5 linked regions of the Danio rerio genome follow. The protein of the gene in region 3 interacts with the protein of the main gene of each other region in a biochemical or structural test. Links are inferred from orthologs where the notes say so. Each region holds a gene or a part of one and is shown on either strand. Other genes may lie near its edges. The genes, in order: ambra1a, si:ch211-202a12.4, cul4b, dtl and rbx1.

Region 1 (4,429 bases), on a different chromosome or scaffold from region 3:
ACAGAACTAAATGATGGTGTATCCAGGTTGTCACATGAATAGAAAGGGCATGAAATAGTAGTGAGAAAAAATTAATCAGCATTGGTCTACTTTTCCATCTAATTAGGGTTCATATGCATTTTTACTACTAAAATTTCATGACTTTTCCAGAACTTTCAAGTACATTTTCATGACATAATATTTCATGTAATATCTAAAAATAAATGATTAATAATAAGAAAAACAATAACGTTCAAATTTATAACAGCATATTATAGAACACGCAACTAACTAATTTGTTTAAATTAGTTTTTTTATTGATTTTTTTTGATAAAGCTTGCACAGCACTAACAATGTGAGAACAATATTTTGGCCAAGGACAGAAAAGAAAACAACTATCCTATATTCAAGTTAGGGCTGCACAATATATTGTTTTAGCATTGATAAAGTAATGTGTGCATTCACAATAGTCACATCGCAGGATATGCAATATTGGGATGGGATTATAGTTTAATTTAGAGTTTAATCAAAATGAACTAAAAGTTTATCATCTGTATGCATTTTAAAGAGATCGTTCACTCAAAAATTACTTACCATTTTTATTACACCCTTCACTTGTTTTAAACATTTATGAGCTTTCTTTTTTTTAAATAAAGACAAAAATAATATAACCTAATAACTCATATAGTATTGAAACAATTGAAGTGTGAGTAAATAGTAAGTACATTTTAATCTTTGAGTAAACTGTCCCTTTAAGACCTGTGACTGTTAAACATTTCAATATTTCAATTTTTTAAAAATCGGGCCAAAAGAAATTTTTTGGTAACTAAATTAAAGATTAAATAATATAGAACGAAGACTATGCAGTGTTAATTATTCAATATCTGTACCGAAATAGTGAATACCTGAAAACTATAATTCACTTTTATCTTGACTATGTTTTATTTATCTATGCTTGTAATTTATTTGTTATATATTATTCGGGATTCACTCTCTAACAACCCCCCCCCCCCCCCCCCCCCCCACCCCAATCAATCAAAAATAAAACTTTTAAATCATCTGGTGAAATTATATTCTCGTCGCAACATATCACAGAAATACAAAATATTGTAATGTCAGATTGTTCCAATATCGCGCAGCCCTAATTTAAGTATACTGATATTTGTTAAACTAATCTTCATAACTTTTCCAAGCCTGGAAAATGCCATGTCAAAATTCCATGACTTTTCCAGGTTTTCCATGACTGTATAAACCCTGTCTTATGATGAATTAGTCAACTATGGAGGACGCAAAAACAATAAATAAATACGCAAATAAATGAGTAAATAAATCCATAAATTCATGCATAAATAAAACAATAAATAAGCAAAAAAAATGTGTATATATATAAACTTTCTGCATAAATAAATGTATAAATAATTAATAGAGCAGTCAATCATCAGAAGCCAGTAAAAAAAAATTATAGTTTTTTTTTTTTTTAATGAAAAGCAAATGTTTTCTAACGATCAACCAATAATGGCATGAAGACCACTTTCTGATGATTGACAGAACCAGTCTCATTAGCATGTTTACTGAGGAAAGGTAAATACATAACTACAATCAAGAATGAATAAACATTTGGGAGGGGGCGGGGGGTGGAGCTTTCAGTTTACCATTTTCTTATTCCCGTAACATTCGTGTAATTTATTAAATTTTGTACCTGCCTGATTGAGTTATGCAGGAATTTGTGGATTTTTATATACATTTACTCGTTTATTATATATTTGTGTATTTATTTATTAATTTATAGATTTAAAAAAAATAAAGGTTTCATCTTTCATAGCCAACACCTTGACAGAGAAAAAAATCATTAATTAAACATAAATTAAACAAAAAGTTTACTTTTTCTTTCATAAGGTTTTCCACACAGGCTTTAAGTCAACTTAAAGTATGTCAAGTTAACTATGGTAATTTATTTTTTGTTATTTTTTAGCTATGCAAAAGTAACATTGAATACATTTGAAATTTACTTTTAATTCTAGTTAATGAACACTGTGTATTTTTCTTCAAACAACATAATACTGAACACAATCATACTTTTAAAGTGTATGCTTTACTTAAAAAATTGAAATAGTAACAACATTAAAAGATATTCACACAACAATCTAACTGAACAGAGACCTCAATACCTAATACACAATACACAATGACGAGTCTAACTACAATAAAAGCTAACCATATTTCCATTTCAGTTCTACTAATAAAGAATTAAGCAGTAAATAAAAATTAATAAATTAAAAAATAAAACAAACAAAAACTATTACATGGGTAAACAATGCATAGTTTAACTATCAAAAATGCAAAGACTACTATAAATACGTAGTTATTATTTACAGGAATGCAATTACCAAAATAACAGGGTTAAAACACGTGGAAAAGCTTTACACGTTTTGTGACACTATAGCACGTCAGGTCAAAGATAGCTCATGTTTGACTCCAGCTAACGTTAGACATATATAAGTTAAGTTTAACCTGCAATAAAAGGAGTGTCACTCATTACAGTAAATTCATTGTCACAGAATAAAGCAACTAGTGAAGGTTATAACGTTAACGTTAAATTACAATAATTACTTTTTAATAAAGAAATTAACTTTACAGCTTTAACATTTAGCAGTTAGCAAGCTAATTTACATGCGAGGCAAAGTATCAATCCACACAATTACATAGTGTTTAAATTAGGAGTCTTTTGTTCAGTATAAATTTAAAACAACACCTCTCATGGTCTCAGGTTCGGCCTACCTTTTCCTCTTATTTTTGTCCGATTTTAATCCATGAAATTGTAGATATGTAGTAGCGGAAGTACGTTAGGTGAAACTTTAGCAATATTTCAGATTTTCTTTAAGGAATATTTTTGTAATGTTTTTATTTTCCCCCAAAAGTGGGTCGTGTGTACTTTAGATTTGTTGCTGTGTGTGTCCTGCCAAAACGAGTCCAGACAAAGCCAGTAGAGCACAGATCCTTCATAATCAATTACCGAAAACATCGTTCATGAGCCAGCCAATCAGGTTGATCTGTCAAAAAAAAAAACACAGATGAACCAGTCAAGATGAAATCTTGTGCTAAACAGCCAAGTTATATTTACATTCACATTCCGTTGTCCTATATTTATATTTGATCATGGGCAGTTAAGTGATCAAATAATTTTTATTCACATATTCAGTCTTGCTAAATGTTAGATTACACATAAACTAAGTCAAACATATATACCAATTGAATAACAAAAGAGGGGATTTTCATTCAGAATTTTTTTTTCAAATGACGGAGAAGTCATGCACCTTAAACAAAGAGAAAACAATCAACTATTGTTTGCTGTTTTGCTCCAAGTCCTTCTCCGTTCGTGAGAGCCAATCACTGCTCGTGTTTTTGAAGCTGCTGAACACATTGACCAATGGCAGCTCTCCGTTACCCGGAAAAGCTTGCAGCTCGTCTTGTGTTTATCAGCCACGACAGCCAGGCAACGATCTTTCAATGAGGTTACTGTACTGTGCCTCATCCGCTCGTCCGCAAGTATGGATTCCTGTTTTGTGATTGTTGCCTTTCTCTTTGCTTTCAGTCTTTCCAGTGGAGAGAGGACGCTAAAGTTTGTCACTGTGGTGAGTTTAATAATACATCTGTCCTTTAAAAAAACAAACGTTAAGTATGTAACAGACAGTAACTGAATAACCGGGGCCTGAAGCTATTTACAAAACCTTTCGTTTTAAAAACATTGACAACGCGAAGTCTCAGTCAGACCTTTTATTATGTGCCTCGTGTGTTTCTTTAGGGGTGTCATATTTCTGTTATTCAGCTGTGTGCCTTTCTGTAATTACCTGTTAGTTGATGTCTAAATTCGTGTTTCTCTCTCGAATGTTTTGCTTTCTACAGATTTTCGCATTTTCTGTAATTTCGGTAAAATGTAGTTTTCGACTTGATCTTTATTAATTCCTCATTAAAGTACAGATTGAGCAATCTGAAGAGCAGACCGTCACATGACATGTTGTTTTGCTTCATTTCACCTCCCATTTTCGTCAAAGCAATAAAACACCTTTGTAGGTTAAATGTCACCTATTTTTTTTAGTAAGGGTAACATTATTGCTTGGCTTTTAGGTGAGAAAGATCTCTGAAATTAGTAATGCAACTGCAAGCCTATTACAGAATGTCTGTCATATGAACGAATTGGTAAACCAAGGGCTAACTTGTACTGAATCCATTTGTAACGTTAATGGATAAAGATAGAAAAAGTGTCTGCAAGGTAATTTATGGAGCAATTCCATGCAAATGTCAACCATGTTTCACGAAAATAGCGAAACCCTTTCTAGATTTTTTATTTTTTATTTTTTTGCTTAGGCTTGTATTTTACTGTACTCTAAAAATACTCAAAAACGTATCTGTCAGTGTTTTCAAGCCATTCTATTTGATTACCAAAGTCACA
Region 2 (4,035 bases), on a different chromosome or scaffold from region 3:
TCAATGGTGTCACTTGGCTCGACCTCAAGGGTGATGGTCTTACCAGTAAGGGTCTTGACAAAGATCTGCATCTGTAAACAAATTATCAAAAGAAGATTAGCAATGACTAAAATTTGTACAGATTTATACGACTGATCTAAGATTTTACCTTAAATCTTCAAAAAGAAATCTTTTTGGAACACCACATGTTAGAGTTGTCGCGATACCATTAATTCACGTTATAATACTATACCAGCTGAAGTATCACGATACCATATAGTAATGCCATACTGTAATTCATAACTCAAATTATAAGGAAAATTGTCATAAATACTATATTTTATATGTTATAATAGGTCTACTTGAGTTTCATTAAATGAATGATGATTAAATGAATTTAATTTCAATTAAAGAAATAAGTATTATTTGCACACTATTTCACCTAAAATTTATTTATACTTTGTTTATTTTGTAGATAACTGATCAACAAAAAATACATTAGAATAAAGATACAAATAAACAAAATGGAATTTGTTACGAAAAGAGCATTTTTAAAAAAAAAATTATGAAAGTGATGAAAAATATAAGTGGTCAAAAGTTGTTCAAATATTACTATTTTGGGTTTTTCCATTTATTTTTTTATTTTTTCAGCCTTATCAGGGAACAATCCAAAGTAATTAAAAATATTTTTTTAAGACATTAAGTTGTTTTTAAGAGATTGCTGCGGTTGCTGTAGCTATTAAATCACATTGCCAGAAACAGAATGAACCGCTTCAGGTGTGCGTTTGAAATGTTAAAAAACATGCAACCTTAAGGGGCTCCACAGACTATTCAAATAAAATGGTCTATTGATGCACATATGTGTGAGCATTAATCACTTTCACAAGCAACACTACATAATATAGATAGACCGGTAATGAAGATACTACCGTTTACAAACTACAGTGGCACTGCCAGTATTTTGAAGCCACAGTATCGTGATGCTACCATAGTACCGGTAAACCGTGCAACCCTCCTACCACATATAGTATCTGTCAATCTGAGAGCATAGGCTTAATTCAGGGCAGGGCTAATGTGTTAGCACATCTATTACAATACAGAATGATTTTAGCTCATCCTTTCACAAACACAAGTTCTAAATCTTTCTCTGACCCCCACTAAATGTTTTATTAATCTGACGATAATTTAAAACTTCTCACTTTGAGACTTCCATGACGATGCATCAAGTTTATCATGTGACATTGCAGCCCTGAAGATTTATGTATATAATTTTCTCACTTATTTTGTCATTTTATGCAAACATTGGTTAACATCCTAAATATATTAGAAAATATCATATTCTGATAAATGAATATTATGATACAAACGCATCCATTTCCATTTCACAGATTAATAATGATCATGGGTGCCACCATGTTAGTGGAGGGATGCTGGATTTACAACATGTTAATTTATCAAATTACATGAAAGTGCCTGTTTAACTGGAAGAATAGAGTAAATGTTAGTTACCCTAACAGTTTGAACAAGGACATTGTCACATTGTGACAAATTATTATTAGCATATTAGCAAATTATTAAAATCTTTATTTTATGCCAATATCAATCCAGATGCTTCAAGCTTAAGTTTTTCTATAGAGCACAACCCTGTAGGGGTGATTTCCTCTTACCTGAGACAATAACTTAAGGGTGTCTCCTAGGTAATAGAAATCATTACGTGGACATGCATGCCTTGTAAAAGCTACTCTACATTAACCCAGAATCAGCTTTACAGAAAATAGTTAAAATTGAAACGGGGGTTATATCTATCTATCTATCTATCTATCTATCTATCTATCTATCTATCTATATCTGTGCACTCAAAATTCCGCAAATTTAAGTCCATGATTAATTCTATTTATTTACTAGAGTAAATGTGGGTAAATCTATATTTATTTACTTTTTAATAACAGTAATATTATTGACTTGTATGAAAATGTTCATCTGATTTATATACGATGCAGTTTGTACAGTGATTCTTTGTCTTTTAGTAGATACATTATATTAGACTTGCTTTGTTTACCAAATAAAGTGAATCTAATTGGATTTGCATTTTAAACATTAAATGAAAGTTTAAAAGATATTATTTTTAAATTCATATATTAAGGTTTTAGTTATGATACTCCCAAAATAATTCCGCAGAAATCCGCAGATTTTTAGCAAAATTCTACGCAAAAATAGCAAAAAACGCCCGCAGATTCCGTCTGGTCCTACATATTAAAAATGTTTGTTTTTTAGAAATATAATAAAAGTTGAGTTATGAACTTGTAATTTCATTCATACACTATATCGAAATAGTTATTTATGTTAACATTACCTCCTAAATTACATAAAACAATAAGTTACATAATTAAAAAATTGCACAATGTCATCATTTAAAAACGGTAATGCGCAACAACAAACATGGCCGCTGTACAGTAATATCCGGGTTCTTTGTTCATACAGCGCCATGACTCAGCATAATTTAATCTGACAAACTGCGACATTGAACAATTTAACAATTAAAAAGCAAACGTATCAATTTGGGAAAATAACATCGTATGAGTATTACTCTAGTCAAAGCATTAAGGACTGTAAAATTACTTCTTTACATTTAGTTAGGATGTCGAGGATATGAGCGCCAAAATCAATACAATAAACAGGAATGACGAAATATCAATAATAGTATACCTAAAGGTCTTTATGAAGGTTCTAAATCGAACTGGAATAGCTTTCTTACCTTATAAATATCGCTGAAACTGCTTCTGAAAGTGAATAAGTTCTTCTCTTCTTCGCAGAAAAATCAGCCGATGAAGCGAGTGAAACTGTTTTTATACAAACCCAACAGCGTGACGTTCTCATGTCACGTGAGCGGGTCTTTTAGTAGTCAAAACCTTTTTTTCGTTTGAAAAATTAAAATAAATGTTAAAACTATGGAATTATTTGATTTTTTAAAAATAAATACAAGTTATGTATCAATATTTGAAACGTATAATTTAATCATAAATTACCCATAAAGGAAGTTTCCACAATGTGCTGGAATGGGCTGGACTTGTAGGACAACCTGCAGGCAGTGATTGGCTGGTTTAGTGTTTGTTCGCTTTGCTATTGGTGATTCAGACAAGACCAGGCAAAGAGAAGAACTGACATACTGTATAAACAAAAATAGAACAGTCTGGAAAGATACATCGTATTACAGGACCAGAGATTATACAGCATTATAAAATATGAATTATAGTTAGTTGCGTGGGTTCCAGTGGATGTTTTGGTTGCTTAAAAGAAACTGATTGTGTATGGTAATAATGAACCCTGATATTAACTTCAGGGTACAGCTGAGTAAAGTGAGCAGGCAGAAGAATGGGAGAACAAAAAAAAAAACATTTATAAGGATACATTTGCGTGGAAAACAGAGCAAACAATAAAAATGTGATAATTGCAAGATTATACATTGGTCATACAGCGCAAAAAAGTTTGTGTAAAAAATTAAACAAGTTACTGTCATAAAAATGCTTAATAACAAATTACATAATTCAAGAGAGAATAAATAGAATTATTCTGAAAAATAACTGAAAGAAATCTGAGTAAAGTGTTAATCACACATTAGAATTACCACATTAAAGAGATCATTAAGGTGTCATCTGGATTGTTGAATGTCTCCGGACTGGAAAATTAGGTTTAAAAGTGGTTACAGTTTTTTAAGCCCCCAACCAAGTTTCATACTCCAGTCCTATAGGTGGCAGAAATGCACTTTCTCAACCACCAACAAAAAAAAATACATGATGGATTCCAATCTGAAGGGCTCATTCCTATGCCCTAATCCCTTCAGAGGGTTCCTCTAAAGAGATTAGCGCATAGGGATGAGTCCTTTCGAATTGAGTGTAGTGTGGAAAACCACACAGCTTTCCTGCTCAAAAGATAATTTCCCACCAAAGTATAATTAAATGATAATTGACACCAAGCAGCTTCCCTGCTCAAAGGATAATTTCCCAAAATGTTCATCGGTTTTATTTTTCAAACTCATTTATTCCTAGGGGGGCTTTT
Region 3 (3,756 bases):
ATGACACACTTAATTATTAGCAGTACCCTTAAAAATTAAGGGTACTTCTGTCAAATTTAATAACAATGAAAAAGCTCATATTTCTAGGAATGTAACAATTCACCTGACTCACGTTTTGATACACGATAGTAATGTTGTTATATGGTTTAGTCACGATTTTGTAATACAATTATTTGGAACAAATTTAAGATGAAGAGTCTTTCATTTTTCTTTCTTAAATGCTGCATATTTTTTACAAAATAATACATTTTTAGTCATAACTAAACTGCTATTTAAAAAACTAATTCCCCAAAATAATAATAATAATAATACAAACGAAAGAAGACTCTTTAATATAAACAAGCTAAAACTGTGACTGTGCTGGGATTTAACATTTTAAAAAAATATATCAGCATATCTCTGTTTTCTGGAATAAGCTGAGGTCTTTGCACATTTACAATGTCCCCTGCTGATGAAAGAACTCTTTCATTGGGGACTGAGATGGCCAGTGTGGAGCGGTATGCCTTTCCTAAACCAGAGAGCCGTATGTACAGAGATGGTCTTCTCCAGGGGACTGGCCACTGGCAAAAAATACTGATTATAAAATTACTAATTGTATAGCAGGATGGAGAGAGGAGTTGAAGATGATTATGAAAGTAATAATTAATTTTATTTGTATAATTAATTAGTATAAATATCAGTGTAATACACTTAAGTGATAATCTTGAGGGTTTTTTTTAAATATTCAATAATAATATGCAAATTATTAAAATATGTATAAACTTATTTGAAAAGGAGAGGGTATAATAATCTAATACCTGCTTCTGTAACAGAACAACTTTCTCTTTCAGTCTGAAAACATCTTCATACTTTCGCTATGCACCATGTACTCGTCGGAGGAAACAGCGCTGCAAATCATCTAACTTATAAGTCTTTTTGCGTATAGTCATCTGTGACAGTAGTTTTTCACTGTGCTGACTGTTTATGTGCATCATATTCATTGTTTTGTTGGTGCAAGTAAACGTCTTTGCAGTATTTGCAAACAGTTTTTTCGTCTGCAGCACTTCACCGCTGTCATTTTACTGCCACCCCACCTCTTGCTCGCCGCACAGCGCCCCCTCTATTGAAAAAATGTATCACAATTCGTTCAACATTTCTACAGGTTTGAATCATAAAATATTTTAATTGATTTTCAACCGGCTCATGGTGAATCGCTACATCCCTACATATTTCTCAGAACTGACCTCTGCTGGCAGATGTACTTCCATAGGGACGTATGTTGGCCAATAGCCCATAGTGAGGATGTTCACTGTCAGCTCAATGTTACCAGGAATATTTTGGCACTGCATATGCTGAAATACAGAATGAAAACAGAGATTTGCTAGATAAAAACGAGACACCAAAGAACATGAATAATAGAAAGAAAATAAAAGCTCCCTTACCTGTTTGAACTGCACCATAATATCTTTCGACAGCTCCATGTCTTTGAACATTCCCTCCAGTTTACTAGTAAATGCTGCTCCACATTCTACAAAAAAAGAAACACAATTTGCCATTTTTAGTTTACAGTCTACAGAAAGATTTGCGAGGGTTTGGAATCAAACATAAAAGGAGAAATGTAATTTACCATGCTTCAGTTTTGACAGCATTGATTTCTCTGCATCTACAGAGGCACTCTTTCCCACCAGTAACCTCTTCGCTAAGTCTTTCTTGTAGAAGGCTTCAAAAACATCTTTGCCTTTAAAAAAAAAAAAAAAGAAATGAAAAAGTCTATGAAGCTTAGCTGTTTAAAAATGTAAAACTCTCCAAGGCCTCAGGAACAGAGCATTAAGTTTAAAAGCATTACCGTAAATGAACCTGAATATGATCATTATCTTGTCCAACATTTTCTCCAGCTCCTCATCAGTTGCCTCTTTGTTCCCAGCACGGAGCTTTGAATCCACATATTTTGCTGCAGAACATAAAAATCACAACATTTAGGAATATCAGTAATTCCAATAATTAAAGCATCTTGAAGCCCTCAAGAAAAAATCCTCAATTTCACCCTTCGCTGGCTGTTTGACTGACAGACGATTTGGTAAATCATAATGCCGATATTTCGTCCCCCCTGTGACTGTTTACTATTTTGTTTGACAAGCAAAACACTCCAACAAACCAGGTGTAGAATGTTAATATTAGCAATTAACGCGATAAATGGTGAAAAGGTGCTCGTATGGGATTTGCAACACAGACAGCAGGTACATACACAAAGTGTGGGCAAGTAACAACTTCATTCATTCCCCAAACCTGCCCAAAACCTGGAGAAGTGTGTGTAAAGGATGCACTTGTGTTGATGACTTCACAATAAATTAAGGTTAATGTTTGGTTTATTATGCGGTCACATGCTGAACAAACAACTTAAAAAAACCGGGAAGCCTTGTCTTTTTCGAGATGCCAGCATTTGTGTGTTCGTGAATGATGTGTTGAGGAATCAATGAGAAACATTTGAACTGTATTTTGCAGAAATTAACTAAATTATCAATTGTGCTGATTGAGAGTCAAAGGTCCGAGTTAGTCAAATGATCCAAACTTCCAATTAATACTGACTGTAGGCTATAGCTTCAATTCACACAGCGTTTCTGCATGACTCATCAAGTCAAATTTAAGACTTTAAGACCAATATGAAGAAAATGTCAGAATTAAACAGGCCCCTTTTTTCTAATGGCCTAATAAAAAAAAGTTTAAATAATGTGTCAAATCAAGCAAACTTGTATACATACACTTTTTCTAACAATGTTTATTTAAAAAAAAAATAAACTGAAAAGTTTTAAAAACTATAATAAAGATCAGTGTCTTCACCAGGTAGCTATAAATACATGGAGAACTTTTAAACCAATGTTACAGTAGGGAAGATAATGAAACTATATTATTAGTAAATTTTATTATGATGGATTGATGGTGACTGAATAGGCGCCAACCTGATTTGACCAAGTAGGATATGTTCCTGTATTAACATCTATATTGATCCTGGAACAACATTCCAATCAGCCAATCAAGAATGAGGAATATGTTTAACGTTAATGTTAAGTTTAGGCTTACAGTTTATACACTTCTACATGATTGTTATACAACTATTTTCGGCTATGATTTTGGGAATAATTTACAGTTATGGTTGGGTTTAGGGTAGGGAATTACAAGGTATGGAATACAATTGCGAACAAAAATTATGTTTCAGGATCAACAAAGATGTTAATCCAGGATCTGTATAAAAGAATTGAAATACTACAACACTATCTCAGTGAGTTTTAGACATTTTAAGGGCTAAAATTTAGTTTTAGAAATTTAAGACTTTGATACACTGCAGAAACGCTTTTCACATCCTAAATATATCCCCCAAATGTGTATTGCAGGCATTTTCATTGCTCCTCTCTGAAACCATTACGTAATTTTACCAGAATTGGAGTGCACAAATTTACAATAATTTCCATGGCTGACACTGAAAGCTTGTCGGATATAGCAATATTAACGAAGAAAAGGCAGTGCTTTGTGAGGGGTGATTTTTTGCAATGAAAAACAGTTCATGTACTCACCTATGAGCTCTGCAGGTTTGTTTGGCCGTTTGTTGATAAACGTCTCGAAGGCTTCCTTCATGCCATTTACAAACTTTTCATTCTTCATGAAACATACATCAATTATGTGGTCGACTTTATCCTTGAAATCCAGAAGCTCCTGAACCATCGTCTTGTCTTTCTCAGGGTTGATCACAATTGTGCTTCCAAAGGCCTGAGACACAAAAAA
Region 4 (4,227 bases), on a different chromosome or scaffold from region 3:
GTCACCGGATGCAGTTACCTGCAAATGACAATTCCCATTTAAGACAACACTTATAAATCTACAGAAAACAAAATGTCTTACACACTGAAAAAGTCTATAAACAAAAAAATCATTCAACACTTACTAAGCAATTGGTTCCAGGAACCCAGGCAATATCAAAAACTGCATTATCATGTGCCTGCCATTCTGGAAAACACACGTTTTACATCAATGAAACACCAAAATTTAATTAACAAAAGTGATTTTGTGCATGTATAAATCACTGTCAATGCAAAAAGAAGTTTCTACTATAATATTTAAAATAACCTTGTGATATTGCCGTTTCACTGGATTGTTTTAAGAAACTTCTTAAGAGTCACCTTTTTACCGTTGCTTTTAACCTAGATTATTTTTGTTATTTTATAATCCTATTGTAGTGAGCCATTCATATTTTATTGCAGTCTTTTTATTTTATTTTTTGACTGTTTTTATTGTTCTGCTTTGTTTGCCTTGTATGCCTGTTAGCGCTTTGGGGCTGAAAAAAGCGCAATATAATGTATTATTATTATTATTATTATTGTCAAATATAGGTGAAATAATGTTCCGTCTTCATTCAGCATGCATAAACAGATATAGATATGTGTGAGTGTAAAAATTAAACATACTTATTCTGCTCTTATTCTATTCAGAGAATAGAAAACGTTATCCTACTTAACCTTTCTTTTATATTCACACAATCTGACAGAATTTAAAAGGGCTAATATGGATTATCATGATGTACTATTATGAACAATGCATTATACGTATGTAACTGTACAACTTAAATACGCTTATTCAACTTATTCTCCGTCGATGAGCGGGCGCTGCCATTTGAATATTTTTGGCTTGAAACTTCTGGTCTCATTCACTTCCATTCATTTTTTGACGTTAAAAACTGCTTATTACGCTGCTTGATGTTGCAATTTGATATTTTCTTATTATATTATTCTACTTGGTCTGTATAGTCATGCAAACATTTGTTTTTAGAGCAAGTAGTTTGACCGTTTTCTGCCGTTTATTATTCCTAGTCATTTCTCCCATAGGCGACTGAATCGAAAGTTCTAAGACAATCGTGAAAACAGGCGCACTTCCGCATTTTAGAATAAGGTCAATAGCTATGGAAGGTTGTAACGTCATCATTTATGTAAGGAACTGTCTACAAATTAGCACTTTCAATCAGAATGTTAATCATATATTTAAAGATATGATTGAATAAAAAAATTCATTTGAATATATAATGTGATGCAAGTGATGTGTGCTGTACAACTGTAGTCAGCTAAAATGCAACCATTAATTTAAAAAAAAAAGTGATCATCTGAAATCTGAGGAAGCATGTTCCTGCTACTGATAAAAAAATATTTTTAAAAAAGGTAATTGCAACATTTTCTCAGAATTCTAACTTTATTTGTGAATATTGTGAGGCAATATCTCCCAATTCAGACTTAAGAACTCAAAATTGGCTCATTGGCTGCTAATATCATTTCCTTATTTAGAATTGATTGCAAATAATTTTTATTTTGAATTTAGGTTAAGCAGGATAAACTCTGAATAGAAAAATCAACTTTACCAAAAATAAATATTTCAGGGCTTAACAATAAGGACTGCCAGATGGCCCTGGTCAGTATAAGAGACATTCAGAACAGTAGACAGGATCATAACTTGCCCGATCGGGCTTTCATGTCACTAAGGTTTAATTTGGCTGAGACCATTTGTCAATTGCATGCAAAGGCAGCCTAAGAATCAAGTTTCTGCTTTTAAGCCTTTTAATGTTACCTCTTCTGTGATGTCATAAACACCATGTTACATGTTCCTTTTAAGTGATTAGACGTTCTGAGCACATACTTTTTTTCCATAACCTGGTAACAAGATAGCAACATCAAATTATGAGGCTAAACGAAAACATGTTTCTAACCTCTTGGAAACCTACATTTATGTGGGTACAAAAAAAACAAGTGATGTGTTGCCCAGTTTGCTGTCGGTTTGGCAGGTCAGCCACATTTTGATTTGCAATAAAATACCTGCACATTTTCCATACTGCCATTTTTGTTTGCATAACACTTTGATTTTTGCATATTATATATTTATTAACATTTGTAAAACACTTAAATTCTAGATTTATTCCCATTTTTGACACATTGTTTAAAATATGTGGCTAAGAAATAGTTATTAACTTTTTTGGTGTGGTTACAATGAATGACATTTCCGAAACAAGATTTTAAAAAATTATGACAGTATGACAAAAAAAAATGTTTTTCTATTTTATTTTCCTAACAGGGGAAACACAAAGCTTTATTGCACTTTTTGTTGAGATTTCGGTCAACCCATTTTATATTTGACGCCAATAGGAAATAGGGTTTTCCAAAAGCGAACTAGTTTAAACCTTTAAAATATTTCCAGGTAAACTTGAAGCCAACCTTTCAGAACAGAGCTTTGTTTTTCTCCAGTGTTGAAGATGGTCACAAACCCTTCTTCGTTGGCTACAGCAAGACAGTTTTGTTGTCCATGAGCTAAACATAGAAAACAAACCAGCACAAACATAATGTCTTTGCACAATTCTGTACTACTGACTTCGAACTCATTGTGAATGCAGAAATAAATGTTTACCGGAGGAAAATGTGCATCCGAATGGCGGCACGGCAGCAGCGGAGGCTCCATAAGAGATGTGTTCATCCCGCCGAGCGCATTCATAGCCGTCCAGCAGAGACGACAGAGGAAACAGCCGCTGCTCACCTGATTATTACAAAGTATTTCAGTGTAAATAGTGTAATAACGCTGGTTTAGGTTAACGTATATTCAGCAAACTCACCATTTCGTCCTCTTTTTTTAGCCCCTCGATCAACAACATGGTGAAAAAGAGTCATCGCTGCAGGATGCAAGTCGCGTTCAGAAGTGGTAAGTTTCCCGCGAACAATGAAAAAGCGCTGAAGACGAATTCCCCGCGAGATGGACGAACAGTGTTCTAATTGGTCGACACGTCAGGAAACAGGAAGTGTTAAGCCACTGCGAGCGGAGTGGAATGGCTGCGAACACTAGAGGCGCCATGTGGCCCCAAAAAAATCCGGGTTAACATTAACATTAACAATATATATATATATATATATATATATATATATATATATATATATATATATATATATATATATATATATATATATATATATATATATATATATATATATATATTCATTATTTCATTTATTTCCTTTTTGGCTTAGTACCTTTATTGTTTTGGAGTTGCCACTGCGGAATATGGTTTTACGCAGCGGATGCCCTTCCAGCTGCAACCCATAAGTGGTAAACATCCATACACACTCATTCACACACACACACAAACACACACACACACACACACACACACACACACACACACACACACACACACACACACACACACACACACACAAAATTTAGCCTACCCAGTTCACCTACAGCATATATTTTTTTAACCCACGCAAACACTGGAAGAACATGTAAACGCCACAGAAACACAAAAACTTAATCTTATTAAGAATAAAAAACCCTAAAATTCCTGAAATATTATACAGATGTAGGAGATGCTTAAGTTTAGTTGCTTTCCTTTTGGTTATTTGTTTAAGTGTCATTGTAATTTCATTCATTTGTTTAATTTAGTTTGTTTAATTTAGTAATTTTGTTATTATCATAATTTTATTATTATTAATATTATAATTATTAATATTTTCCCTTTCAGTCTAATGATATGTTATTTGTATGTGTTTGTGATAATTTTTATGACTGTGTATACTATTGATCATTTTAAAGTGATCTCTGGGATCCTTTGGATTTTGTTCTGATAGCAAGCAATAATATATATATATATATATATATATATATATATATATATATATATATATATATATATATATATATATATATATATATATATATATATATATATATATATATATATATATATATATATATATATATATATATATATATATATATATATATATATATAATTTTGCAAATGATTAAATAAAAATTATGATAGCATGAAGAGCCTAAAAGCTGAGCAGAGGTTTAGACTAATCAGGGTAAATGCCGACTCATAAGCCCCGCCTTCTTTGGTCACCTCTTTGGGTCGCTTTCGCTTCTAGCGTTCCTTGTAGCGCAACGGAAACCCGACGACGAAACTGGCGTTGTGCGTCACGTGACCTGCTTTACAACCGGGTCACACTTCAAACTTAA
Region 5 (4,321 bases), on a different chromosome or scaffold from region 3:
TTGGAGCAAAACTGTGCAGAGCTGCGGCTCTCCAGGAATTGAGTTTGAGACCTATCCCTTACACGAAGCTTGTGAATTTGACTTGATTTGAATGAAGAATCAAAAAGACTTACTTCTGAAACTCCCACTCTCTGTTGTCCAGTGGACACACTTGTCTGGTCTTCAGCCAGCGGGAGATGCAGTGGAAATGAAAAGCGTGCTGCAGACACACACAAAAACAAACACACCAGCATTACACCAGCACCAAACAAACCCAGAGCTCAAAGTGTGTGTGATTATACTCACATTGCAGACTCCCCAGGCCACCGTACACTCCTCTGAGGTGGCAGACGCCTGATTGGCCTGACACTCAATACCTGAAGCAAACACAAGAGTTACAGATCAGCTACAGCTCATCTAGACCAGTGGTTCCCACAGTGGGGGTTAAACTTTGACACCTTTACAGCTTTCACATACATTAAAAATAATACAGGCTACAACAGAACATGGAGCAAGCTCTCACAGTGGCAATCTCTAAAATTAAACAATGAATAGATTTGGGCCTACTGGTATGTGTGCAAGGTTTAAATATTCATCACCACCTTAGAGAATATTGGGGGGTCGTGAGTAGGCATGGGCCAGTATAAGATTCTGACGGTATGATTACCTCGGAAATAAATTTCACAGTATCACAGTATTGAGTACCTCACAGTATTGAGTATTTCACAGTATCACAGTATTGAGATAACTGCTCTAAAATATAATCTTTTTAAATATCTGGGTACAAAACAAAACCCTTTTCCCCTTTGTACACACTATATGTAAATTTGGGAAACATATAAAATGTTTTGGAGAAGTAAACATGTCAGGCTAAATAATTCTAATGAATTATTGACTTCTGCTGTCTTCATTTGTTTTAAAAAAATCTGATTATTTTTACAATTTAAAAATGGCATCTTTGGATATCTTTTCTGGAGATACTACTGTCCTAAAAATAAAAAGTAAAAAAAAGATCGAACTCATACCTTAGGAACGGTATAGGAGAAAATTTTGAAGGCTTTAAAACCTTGACCTTTCCAAACCTTGATATACATTGAACACGGTTTTCATCCCACGGCTAGGCGCGAGTCACTGGCATTGTTATTTTGGGGGTCGTGGGCTGAAAACACCTGATCTAGACTAAACCTAAAAGACTAAAGCAGCTGTTATACTTACAGAGGTCCATAATGTGATTTCTGCAGATGGCACAGTTGTCCACTACAATGTCCCATGCCCACAGAGCCACAGCGTTCCACTGCAAGACAAGCAGAGTTTATAATCATAATCTTTATTAAAAATGCTAACAGCACCTTTTCTCTTAATGACACATGTACAGACACAAACTAAGCCTAAATATCCTCCACCAATGAGCAGCGCTTCCACTCAGTTATACATCATAATGAGGAAGAAAAGAAGCCAGCAGCCATAACATTTGTAAAGGAACATAGTGAAAATAAGTTGTGAAAACAGTATGCGAGTACAGTATGAAAACTTATTTTAAAAACATTTTTTAAAAAGTATATCTAAATTCAAACCGTTCACGGTGATCGTTTTGAATCCAGATTACAAATTGGTAATCTGGAAACCAACTACAATATTCCACAAAAAATATACATTCAGAAAGGGTTTATGATGCCTGAAACTGTTGGAATTGAACATTGAGAATGAGCTTGCAACGCCTCACACTGTTGGAAACAAATATTTGAAACAAGTTTGCAATACTAGAAACTGTTAAAAATCAAGCATTTGGAGGGTGTTTTCAATGGCTGACATTGTTGAAATCAATATGAAAATGAAATGGAGTAACATTAGGTATAATATCTGTCTATAACACAGGTGTCAAACTCCAAAAGGGTCAAGTTCCAAAAGGGCCGCAGCTCTGCACAGTTTAGTTCCAACCCTAATTAAACACACCTGATCAAACTAATAGAGTCCTTCAGGCTTGTTTGAAACCTACAGGTAAGTGTGTTGGAGCAGGGTTGGAACTAAACTGTGCAGGGCTGCGGCCCTCCAGGAATTGAGTTTGACACCCCTGGTCTATAACATTCAAACATGTCCGTACCTAGCTTTTAAAAAGGATGCACACAAGTCAAAATTTACTTAAGTAATAAGTATAACATAATTTATTGTACATTGTATACACTTATAGAATGTTCAATTCCGTGTGTAATATGTGAAATTCACTAAAATGTTTGCATCGAACTTTGAGGGGGGTAAATGTGTTTAAATGGAATGTTCGGAATGTCACTATGGTGACTAAAAGTGATGGAAACGAACGTTGGGAACATGTAAATGACGTCTACCGATAATCGAATAGAGCGTTCGGAATGCGTCTATGAACCTCAAACGGTTAGAATCGAATGTGCTGTAAGCGGCTGCAGTGTCCACAAATCTTGCCTAAAAAACTCGCCAAGGTCTGGGAATGATCAGCGCTGTATTTCGTTCTTTAGTGGCCTACTTCAATAATCTCTGGGATTACGCTGCAGAATTTATCGGAGTTCAAATAAGAAGCACATTGGGCGAGCATGTAACATATTTTTGCTTGACATTAGCTTGTACTCATTTTTGTGACACTTTATGAGGTTTTTGTAAACATGAAAAGCATAGAGGCCGGTGATTAAAATGATGATGTGAAAGAGCAGCGCGGCTAATGCTAACTGGGTTTAACACACCGCGGTGAAAGAGTGTTATTTTAATTTTAAAGAGACTAAACGGATGTGAACAAACAGTTGACAGCAATCATTAACGTGAACTTCACAATTACTTACCTTTTTCACTTCAAATCGCTTTTTACTGGCTCCGCTGTTAGCTCCACTTGGGGTGTCCACATCCATCGCGGCCGCCATGTTTGCTAATGTCTGATGATCTCGCGAGAAAGAGTGAGAGTGAACAGCTACTCGGTTTATAATCTTTTACATGTAAACGTGTGAATTAAAGCAATTGTGTATACTATGATGTTTTTAATATCATTCATATATTTTTTTTTATTCCAGTTTAATCAGACACAATCTAGTCCAAATTACAGTCGAGTTAAAAGATTAGGTTCCACCGAGATTTGAACTCGGATCGCTGGATTCAGAGTCCAGAGTGCTAACCATTACACCATGGAACCTGTTGGAAGCTAAGGCCCACTGTTTCCAGATTTGTACCATCTACAATACCCTACCACTATTATAAACTACATTGTCGGAATCCTGCATATTATATAATTATGACCGTGTTCAACATACATCAAATCAGTGCAGTGCAAGTGCAGAGCTTTGAAATGATACAGGAGATTACATGTTACCAGGATTTACAGATAACATTAAATGCCATCTATATATTTTTTTATTTCACATATTCATATTTGCTTTTTTTTGACAAGTTTTGCGAACAGCTACCATGTAGACTTATGTAAACTATACACAATTCGTAGTTTTTCCACTATTTTACACATTTGTTTACATATAAAGTGACGTTACTGGAATGCTCAACCGACTTAACATGTAATATCATACAGTTAAGTGCGTGACAAATATATATATATATATATATATATATATATATATATATATATATATATATATATATATATATATATATATATATATATATACATATACATATACATACTAACACACACACAAACACACACACACACAAAAGCATATAACGTTACACAAGTATTTTCAGAGGCCCCAAAACACTATTGTTGTGTGGATGCATTAAAATTGCACAAATTTTGATTCAACAAAGATTCAACCAAAGAATTACCTGTAAACAAATCTGCAGAGCTACTACCACATAGTAGCTAGCTAATAATTGTATTGTTTAAACAAAAAAACACACATGTACGACTACTTAATCCTAACAATATAGTCATCAATATGTATATATTTATCGTTATCTCTTAGTGTGGGCAAGCCAGCATAAGCAGTTAAAGCATTTAAAGACAATAGTTACTTAAGAAAAAATATGATCTACAGACTTCACACAGCCTCCATTTTAAAAGCGAAAGAGAGTCTGCAGTGGAAATAAACCTGGAAGTAACGCCTGGAGTCACACAGGAACGGCATCCAAGATGGCGTATTGTTGTGTACCTGGATTTATATCTTATCAGTGAACACAAATTTATAATTTCACCACTTTCCGAGTGACCCGAAGGTCCTTTCTGAATGCATGGTGAAAATAAAAAGGCATATCGGACCTTATTTTCCCCTAAGTTAAGGGAAATGGCACTAGTTAGCAAATGTTTTCTTTCCACCAGTGCTTAACAGAAATGACTGTGATTGGTCGTAAAGGTCATCAGTTCACTGCACTT

What was found.
Region 1: the proteins of cul4b (region 3) and ambra1a form a complex in vitro, tested with the Homo sapiens proteins (2 studies listed by BioGRID, with this or other methods). The link is inferred for Danio rerio from reciprocal best matches to the Homo sapiens genes CUL4B and AMBRA1.
Region 2: the proteins of cul4b (region 3) and si:ch211-202a12.4 form a complex in vitro, tested with the Homo sapiens proteins (2 studies listed by BioGRID). The link is inferred for Danio rerio from reciprocal best matches to the Homo sapiens genes CUL4B and UBC.
Region 4: the proteins of cul4b (region 3) and dtl form a complex in vitro, tested with the Homo sapiens proteins (2 studies listed by BioGRID). The link is inferred for Danio rerio from reciprocal best matches to the Homo sapiens genes CUL4B and DTL.
Region 5: the proteins of cul4b (region 3) and rbx1 form a complex in vitro, tested with the Homo sapiens proteins (4 studies listed by BioGRID, with this or other methods). The link is inferred for Danio rerio from reciprocal best matches to the Homo sapiens genes CUL4B and RBX1.

The regions. Positions count from the first base shown.
Region 1 is NC_133182.1:39,574,407-39,578,835, forward strand, and holds the start of ambra1a (activating molecule in BECN1-regulated autophagy protein 1A), read right to left. Parts: upstream 2,962-4,429; 5' UTR 2,758-2,961; intron 1-2,757. Other genes in the region: acp2 (lysosomal acid phosphatase precursor), read left to right, coding at 3,528-3,611. UniProt on the Homo sapiens protein: Substrate-recognition component of a DCX (DDB1-CUL4-X-box) E3 ubiquitin-protein ligase complex involved in cell cycle control and autophagy.
Region 2 is NC_133180.1:42,862,365-42,866,399, reverse strand, and holds the start of si:ch211-202a12.4 (polyubiquitin-C), read right to left. Parts: upstream 2,801-4,035; 5' UTR 2,735-2,800; intron 72-2,734; coding exon 1-71.
Region 3 is NC_133189.1:38,074,822-38,078,577, reverse strand, and holds part of cul4b (cullin-4B), read right to left. Parts: intron 3,742-3,756; coding exon 3,549-3,741; intron 1,931-3,548; coding exon 1,826-1,930; intron 1,718-1,825; coding exon 1,607-1,717; intron 1,508-1,606; coding exon 1,422-1,507; intron 1,332-1,421; coding exon 1,224-1,331; intron 1-1,223.
Region 4 is NC_133195.1:14,376,620-14,380,846, reverse strand, and holds the start of dtl (denticleless protein homolog), read right to left. Parts: upstream 2,904-4,227; 5' UTR 2,880-2,903; coding exon 2,825-2,879; intron 2,749-2,824; coding exon 2,623-2,748; intron 2,526-2,622; coding exon 2,433-2,525; intron 187-2,432; coding exon 125-186; intron 19-124; coding exon 1-18. UniProt on the Homo sapiens protein: Substrate-specific adapter of a DCX (DDB1-CUL4-X-box) E3 ubiquitin-protein ligase complex required for cell cycle control, DNA damage response and translesion DNA synthesis.
Region 5 is NC_133178.1:23,848,454-23,852,774, forward strand, and holds the start of rbx1 (E3 ubiquitin-protein ligase RBX1), read right to left. Parts: upstream 2,900-4,321; 5' UTR 2,865-2,899; coding exon 2,787-2,864; intron 1,274-2,786; coding exon 1,195-1,273; intron 357-1,194; coding exon 286-356; intron 200-285; coding exon 114-199; intron 1-113. UniProt on the Homo sapiens protein: E3 ubiquitin ligase component of multiple cullin-RING-based E3 ubiquitin-protein ligase (CRLs) complexes which mediate the ubiquitination and subsequent proteasomal degradation of target proteins, including proteins involved in cell cycle progression, signal transduction, transcription and transcription-coupled nucleotide excision repair.